2 linked regions of the Arabidopsis thaliana genome follow. The protein of the gene in region 1 interacts with the protein of each later gene in a biochemical or structural test. Each region holds a gene or a part of one and is shown in the gene's direction. Other genes may lie near its edges.

Evidence for each region.
Region 2: the proteins of NRPB6B (region 1) and MRLK form a complex in vitro, tested with the Arabidopsis thaliana proteins (one study listed by BioGRID).

Annotation. Positions count from the first base shown.
Region 1 is NC_003071.7:1,618,490-1,622,415, reverse strand, and holds NRPB6B (RNA polymerase Rpb6), read left to right. Parts: upstream 1-2,036; 5' UTR 2,037-2,169; coding exon 2,170-2,207; intron 2,208-2,494; coding exon 2,495-2,528; intron 2,529-2,608; coding exon 2,609-2,781; intron 2,782-2,867; coding exon 2,868-2,919; intron 2,920-3,019; coding exon 3,020-3,087; intron 3,088-3,178; coding exon 3,179-3,248; 3' UTR 3,249-3,625; downstream 3,626-3,926. Other genes in the region: AT2G04650 (ADP-glucose pyrophosphorylase family protein), read left to right, coding at 1-57, 147-258, 330-430. UniProt on the Arabidopsis thaliana protein: DNA-dependent RNA polymerase catalyzes the transcription of DNA into RNA using the four ribonucleoside triphosphates as substrates. Component of RNA polymerase II which synthesizes mRNA precursors and many functional non-coding RNAs.
Region 2 is NC_003074.8:20,817,535-20,821,460, reverse strand, and holds the start of MRLK (meristematic receptor-like kinase), read left to right. Parts: upstream 1-1,943; coding exon 1,944-2,674; coding exon of another isoform or gene 2,675-2,786; coding exon 2,787-3,600; coding exon of another isoform or gene 3,601-3,669; intron 3,670-3,758; coding exon of another isoform or gene 3,759-3,926. UniProt on the Arabidopsis thaliana protein: Can phosphorylate AGL24.

The DNA of each region.
Region 1 (3,926 bases):
GTTGGACCTGGTGTAAGGCTTATTAGCTGCATAATCTTAGACGATGTTGAAATCAAGGTAATTTGGAATCAGTGTTTTAGAATGTTCTTCTTGTTATGAATCCAAAAGATTCGTTGTTTAATGTTCTCTACTCTTGTTAAATGCAGGAGAATGCTGTTGTTATAAACTCAATTATCGGATGGAAATCTTCTATAGGTAGATGGTCAAGAGTTCAAGCTAGTGGAGATTACAATGACAGGCTTGGGATTACCATTCTTGGTAACTTCATTGTTTTCTTTTTGTTCAACAAATTTTTCGTTATATTTTTTCTGATTAATTTGTTTCTGCAGGTGAGGCTGTAACTGTGGAAGATGAAGTAGCAGTCATAGGAAGCATTGTTCTCCAGAATAAGACTCTTAATGTTAGTGTTCAAGATGATATCATCTTGTGATTTATCACAATGATTATCGTTTGGATTTTTTTTCTTTTTAATTGAAACAGAGAAACTTTTACAGAATTGTGTATTACATGAATTGAGTTCACAGGATTAGATTTTGAGTAAGTGAAACTATGGAAGATTTGTAAACTCTCACTGTACTTTGTGTTTAGATACTAAAAAGATTTTAGAAGAAAGAGTTTTAAAAGATCTAAGATAACAAGGAATCAAAGAAGTTTTGCTTCTTGATTGTGTAATCACTAGTGTTCAATACCTCCTTAGGCTCCTTTCTTTTGTGCAAATTGCTCACTAGAAAAATTGTTTATCTTGACTTCGTTTGTGGGGGTAGGCCCGGACATAATACCGGAACCCGAAGAACCGAACTGAACTTGACTCGAAATAACCAAACCCGTTCTACTTCGGTTCCGGCTAATTACTTGATCGGGTTCTGTTTTCAAATAACCGTGGGTACCGGAAATTACCCGAACTGAACCCGATACCCGTGGGTACTTTTTATTACCCGAACATATATATACATAGGGCTGCGCATATGGGTAACCCGTTCGGATTCGGGTAAAACCCGTTCGGGTTCGGGTTAAATGGGTAATGGATTTACTACCCAATAGGGTAAAATGAAAATTTTCGATTTCGGTCTAGTTCGGGTACATTCGGGTTCGGGTCGGCTTGGGTAAAGAATTTCAGGCCCTAAGAATAGCCAAACAAATGAAAACGGGTATTTTATGTGTAGATAGCGGGTACCCAACAAAAAAAAAACCTTAAATATTAACAAATTTTAATAATTTAATTAGATTTAGATATATTATACTAAATTTTGACAAACATAACAAATAATTTTTAAATAGTTGGGTATTTAGATCTAAAAGTAATTGATATATTTAGATTTATAATTATAATTTTAGATTATTACATTATATTAAGATTAAATATAATTAATATTTTTGATATTAAATCTATGTTCGGGTATCCTGTTTGGGTAACGGATAAACCCCGGACCGACCTGATACCCACGGGTTTACTAAAACTTTACCCAATGAAGTAATTTCTTAAAACCCTAACCCACCCCAACCCGATTTTTCGGTTCGGGTATCAGGTTCGATATCGGGTCCCGTTTTTTGCCCAGCCCTATATATACATATGAGGATATATATACACTAATAATGTGACTTGTTTAATGATTTGAGTTATGGAACAAGCTTAAAACAAGGTTTACTTCTTGTTTTATATTATTGGCTTAAGGAAAAACTTGTTATAATTTCAGATCTTTCGGGTTTTATGGATATTTTTATGTATGTTTGGGTATATTTGGACAAAGTTTGGGTAAGTAGTACTCAAACCCGAAATAGTTTTGGTTACTTATGGTTTTTTTAACTAATACCTGAATTATCGGACCCGAAGTGAAGCCGAACCGAACCCGACCCGAAATTGTTGATATAACCATACGGATCCAAAATTTCTAAACCCAAAAATTCGAACCCGAAAAATCCGACCCGACCCTGACCCGAATACCACATGCCCAGGGCTATGTTAGGGGAAAAAAAAAAAATACATGTGGGCTTAAATGGGGTTTGAAATTAAAACCGGTCTGAATAGACGGTTCATTAAGAAAACCGGCAATTAAAAACCGAACTTCATAGAGAGTCTTCTTTACGCATTCTCCGTCATTCGGTTAAGTTGCATCGATCGTTAGGGTTTTATCGAGAGAGCAAGGAGAGCGATTTCTCAAATCGACTTTAATGGCTGACGACGATTACAATGAAGTCGATGACTTGGGGTAATCTCTCCCTCTCTGTTTCCTATGTTAGTATCATTTGTACTCGATTTCAGTTGATTCTATCTTCTTCTTCCCGACGAATCGTAAACGATTGAGAACAATTGGATCAATTATTGTCTAGTTTGAGAGTCTATCAACGAGATTCTTTTTTGAAAATTTGCTTATTGTTCTGGCATCGTAGCATTGATTATAATTTCATATTGTTTAGATAGAAAACCCTAATTTCGTTTGAATCTTATACATCGGATTTCAAATTGTTGATGTTATGTGGTGATTTTCAATTGCAGATATGAAGATGAGCCAGCAGAGCCTGAGATCGAAGTAAGTTATTATTTGTAGAAGAGAGATTGACATTGCTTATTATTATTACTAGGCTGATTAGAATGTGTTGGTGTGAGTAGGAAGGAGTAGAGGAAGATGCTGATATCAAGGAGAACGATGATGTTAATGTTGACCCTTTGGAAACAGAAGATAAGGTTGAAACAGAACCTGTGCAACGCCCACGTAAAACCTCTAAGTTTATGACTAAGTATGAACGTGCACGTATCCTCGGCACTCGTGCTTTGCAGATTAGGTCAGCTACTGAGAACAATCTTTGTTGATTAACCGTTTAGTTGGCTCGGAAAGTTTGATTCTATGTACTGTTGTTGGCTGATACAGCATGAATGCTCCTGTTATGGTTGAGTTGGAGGGTGAGACTGATCCACTTGAGGTGTTGCCTTCTTCCTTCTTGTTGTGTTTTTCATGATTTGTCAGTAAATGTTGATATGTATATGAACATTTGTGTTGTTTATTGTATGATTTGGCTTAAGATTGCGATGAAAGAGCTTAGGCAAAGGAAGATTCCATTTACCATTAGACGTTATCTACCTGATATGAGGTGAGATTGCATTAGTTATATCAATACTTTTAGCTCTTCTTTCAAATTTGATATCTTCTTTTCTTGCGACTTACTTATGACTCTGAATCAGTTACGAGGAATGGGGAGTTGATGAACTGATCGTCGAAGACTCGTGGAAACGTCAAGTCGGTGGTGATTGATAAAATCTGGCCTATGTGTTTTGCAAAGCTTTCTGCTCTTGTATGGATTATGAACTTACGATATAGTCGCATGTAGAACTTCTTCATTTGTCCTATTCTCCAACACTACAAGAGTCAGGGACTCCAACAAAAATGCATGAACAACAAATTTTTTGTCCCAAGTTGTTTTTGGACATGGGTTTCGACAAGCCTGCATGTACATATACAAAGAAAGAAAATCCTTCGTGAAACCAAAAGAAGAAAACATCTATAATAGTTTGAGTATTGAGTAAGTACAACTCAATTGATAAACCTTTTCTCTCACACTTCCCAGCTTTTGTCGTCTCACAGAGTCAGATCGATTGATGCATAAATGAGTGATGCTAAAAATCAAAAAGCAAGATTAGAGAAGAATTATGCATGTTGTTTAAAGAAGTTGAGAAATAGTAATGTTAAAAACTATGTGAAGCGCTTGCTCGAGGATTGTTTCAGCAACACTATACAAGTGACTGGACTCAACTACTCACCATAGTCTCGGCCCAACGCAAGGATAGTGTAGCATGTTTCTTGATGAAATACATCTTTCAAACCACCGTTTACACCATCTGGCATGAGAGGAATCGAAGACGTCATGATGAATCTCCAAAATCTGCAGCCACTCTAATACAATGGATCGACAAGCAAATGCGTTTCCAACGC
Region 2 (3,926 bases), on another chromosome or scaffold:
ATCTAATTTAGTGTTAATAAGTCTCAACTGTGGTTATCTCCTATATTTTCTCATTGGTTTGTGATTTGAAGTAAGTAACTTTCATGCTTTTATGGATGGAATATAGTCATATATATGACTGTCTTGCCTTTCCTAACTAGTATCAATCTGCTAATTTGCTCATAGTTCCCACTTTGTGAAATATAAAACTTATTAACAGATTTGGTGGACATGAGGATGATCCGATTATAAAAGTAGGGCATTGTTAGTTGGTTTATTGTTCACAAAATTAGGCTTTGCTTTGGGGTTCGAGGTTGATGGTTTGAGTACAGTTTAACTTTGAGAGATTGTTTGGACTTTATTTTTCCCGGGGCTAATATCTAATTGCTTTAGCAACAGCTTCATCAGCATGATAAAATTCGCCTTCGGAAACCATCTTGTTTCGATTCCTCCAAACCTTATGGCTTGAGAATTACTAATCTTGTGATATAGTATTTACAATACATGACATACCATTTGAGTTCAAGGTAAGAGTGTCTCCAGAATTTTGTTCTTGCAACCACAGGAGTGATATGTCATTATAGACTTCATTATAGAGATGACTTGTTCATAAGAGAAATGGTCAGGTTTGGTATATGTTCAGAAAATGTGTTTGAAGTGAAAAATGTATATGCAAGAATTTTTAAAAAAATTGAAGTTCAAAACCTCCACATCTAGTATCCAAACACTTTAAACACGTGTACCAGCCTTATGTTAAAAAGGGCAAAGATAGATCAGCGTCAACATAATAACCTCGTACGGCACAACCCTTCCCTTCTTTTCTTTGTTTAATTGTAAGCCAGGAAAAGTTTCACTTTCAAGTTTCAAAGTTGTGTGTCTGCTTCTTCTGAAACTGTACTACTTTATTTACTTTCCATTTGCGAGGGCATTTTAGTCAGTAACCATAAATAAAATGGCTTGTTCATTTCCTTTGGGCTTCTTTACAAGATCTAGTGATCCAATGGCTTGTAGGTCCCACAAATATAGCCGTTAGGAGGAGAAGTGAAGGAGCGGAGCGGTTTGTTGTTCGTGTGTCGTGTCCATTAGGCAGCTCCGACGCATTAAACGAAGCTGGTCTGCAAGAATAAAATAAAATTATGTTGTCTGCTTTATTTGTTACTTTATTCGGAAGAACAATACTTTGATCTCTTTCCTTAGATTTGGAATAAAATTAAATAATGTTGACCTCACATACAAACAACTAAGAGCTATAAAAAAAAGATTCCAAGAAAACAACTGGTAAATTTGAATGTAAGTAATATATTACTGGTTCAAATTCGAAGCATGATAGTACTCTTGACAAATCAAAATTTTTGTTTTTGTAATACTAGTAAATTTTTCATCTTTGTCAGAACCAACATGTTTGTATTGTGATTAATGATTTTTTATCGTTTTTTGATACTTAGTTAACAAAATCTACCTTTATGTATTAGTAATTCCAAATTCCCAATGAAATCCATATACTAGTATTTTACTAAACACTGTTAAACAAAATGACATGAGCAAGAGCAACCCATCGAACAAAACAAAGTGTTTTCAAAACACTATTAAACACAAGTAACTAATATGAATAAATGAAACTAGCCGTTGGAGCCCATTTACTAATATTAGGCCAGAACAGAGAGATCCACTGTTCCCACCCCCCAACCTCTTATTACCATCACCTGATCTTTGTCTCCCTTCTCTCTCTTTCTCTCACTTCTCTCTCACTACAAGATAAAAGAACACAGACCAAGATTCTCTCTCTCTCTCTAAGATGGTCACGTGCTCTGTTGTTCTTTTCCAACGAAACCCATCTCTCTCTTTACAAAACTCTTTCAAATCCAAAATCTTTCCCTGTTCCATCCTCATCACAACTACTATTCACCCATAAAGAACTCCAATTATCTTCTTTCTTCTCTCTTCTTCTTCTTCTTCATCTTCTAATGGAGTTTATCACCCAAAACCAAGCTATTACTTCTCTGAGTATGATCAACACCGACATTGATCAACCTAAGGCTTCACTTCGAAGCCGATTTCTCCTTCATCTAATCATATGCCTCCTCTTCTTCGTCCCTCCCTGCTCAAGCCAAGCCTGGGATGGTGTAGTGATAACACAAGCTGATTACCAAGGTCTTCAAGCAGTTAAACAAGAACTGATTGATCCAAGAGGCTTCTTGAGAAGCTGGAACGGTTCTGGATTCAGTGCTTGCTCTGGAGGCTGGGCTGGAATAAAATGTGCTCAAGGTCAAGTCATCGTCATTCAACTTCCATGGAAGAGTCTTGGAGGTAGAATCTCTGAGAAAATCGGACAGCTTCAAGCTCTTCGTAAGCTTAGTCTTCATGACAACAACCTTGGAGGTTCGATTCCAATGTCATTGGGACTCATTCCTAATCTTAGAGGAGTTCAGCTTTTCAACAACCGTCTCACTGGCTCAATCCCTGCTTCTCTCGGTGTATCACATTTCCTTCAAACGCTTGATCTCAGCAATAACTTGCTCTCTGAGATTATTCCACCGAATCTTGCTGACTCTTCTAAGCTTCTTAGGCTTAATCTCAGCTTTAATTCACTGTCTGGTCAAATCCCAGTGAGTCTCTCTCGGTCTTCTTCCCTTCAGTTTCTTGCTCTTGACCATAACAACCTCTCTGGTCCAATCTTAGATACTTGGGGTAGTAAGTCTCTTAATCTCCGTGTCTTATCTCTTGATCACAACTCTCTCTCTGGTCCGTTCCCATTTTCACTCTGCAACTTAACTCAGCTGCAAGATTTTTTCCTTTAGTCATAATAGGATCCGTGGAACCCTACCCTCTGAGCTAAGCAAACTCACTAAGCTTAGAAAAATGGATATTAGTGGTAACAGTGTTAGTGGCCATATCCCTGAAACCCTAGGGAACATTTCTTCTCTTATACATTTGGATTTGTCTCAAAACAAACTCACCGGAGAGATTCCTATTTCGATTTCTGACCTGGAAAGCCTGAACTTCTTCAATGTCTCTTATAACAACTTATCTGGTCCTGTTCCTACTCTCTTGTCCCAAAAGTTCAATTCCTCTTCTTTTGTCGGGAACTCACTGCTTTGCGGATACAGCGTTTCGACACCATGTCCTACTCTTCCTTCACCGTCTCCTGAAAAAGAAAGGAAACCATCCCACAGGAATCTGAGTACCAAAGACATCATCCTCATTGCGTCTGGAGCACTCCTCATAGTTATGCTTATCCTTGTTTGTGTTCTATGTTGCTTGCTGAGGAAGAAAGCCAATGAAACCAAAGCCAAGGGCGGAGAGGCTGGACCTGGAGCTGTAGCCGCAAAGACTGAGAAAGGAGGGGAAGCTGAAGCTGGAGGTGAAACTGGAGGGAAGCTGGTTCATTTTGATGGACCAATGGCGTTTACTGCAGATGATCTTTTGTGTGCAACAGCAGAGATAATGGGGAAAAGCACTTATGGGACTGTGTACAAAGCTACACTTGAAGATGGAAGTCAAGTAGCAGTGAAGAGATTGAGAGAAAGATCACCAAAAGTCAAAAAGAGTTTGAGAATGAGATTAACGTCTTGGGAAGAATCCGGCATCCGAATCTCCTTGCACTCAGAGCTTATTACTTAGGCCCTAAAGGAGAGAAGCTTGTCGTCTTCGATTACATGTCTAGAGGAAGCCTTGCCACGTTTCTCCATGGTAAGTTTGATACTAAAGTCTTAAAGTTAAAGACAATTTTGCTTTACAAGTACCATTTTGTAACTCTGTTTTCATATTTGAAATTGCAGCAAGAGGACCAGATGTACATATCAATTGGCCTACAAGGATGAGCTTAATAAAGGGAATGGCTCGAGGCTTGTTCTACCTTCACACACACGCAAATATCATCCACGGAAACTTAACATCAAGCAATGTGCTTTTGGATGAGAACATAACCGCGAAGATCTCAGATTACG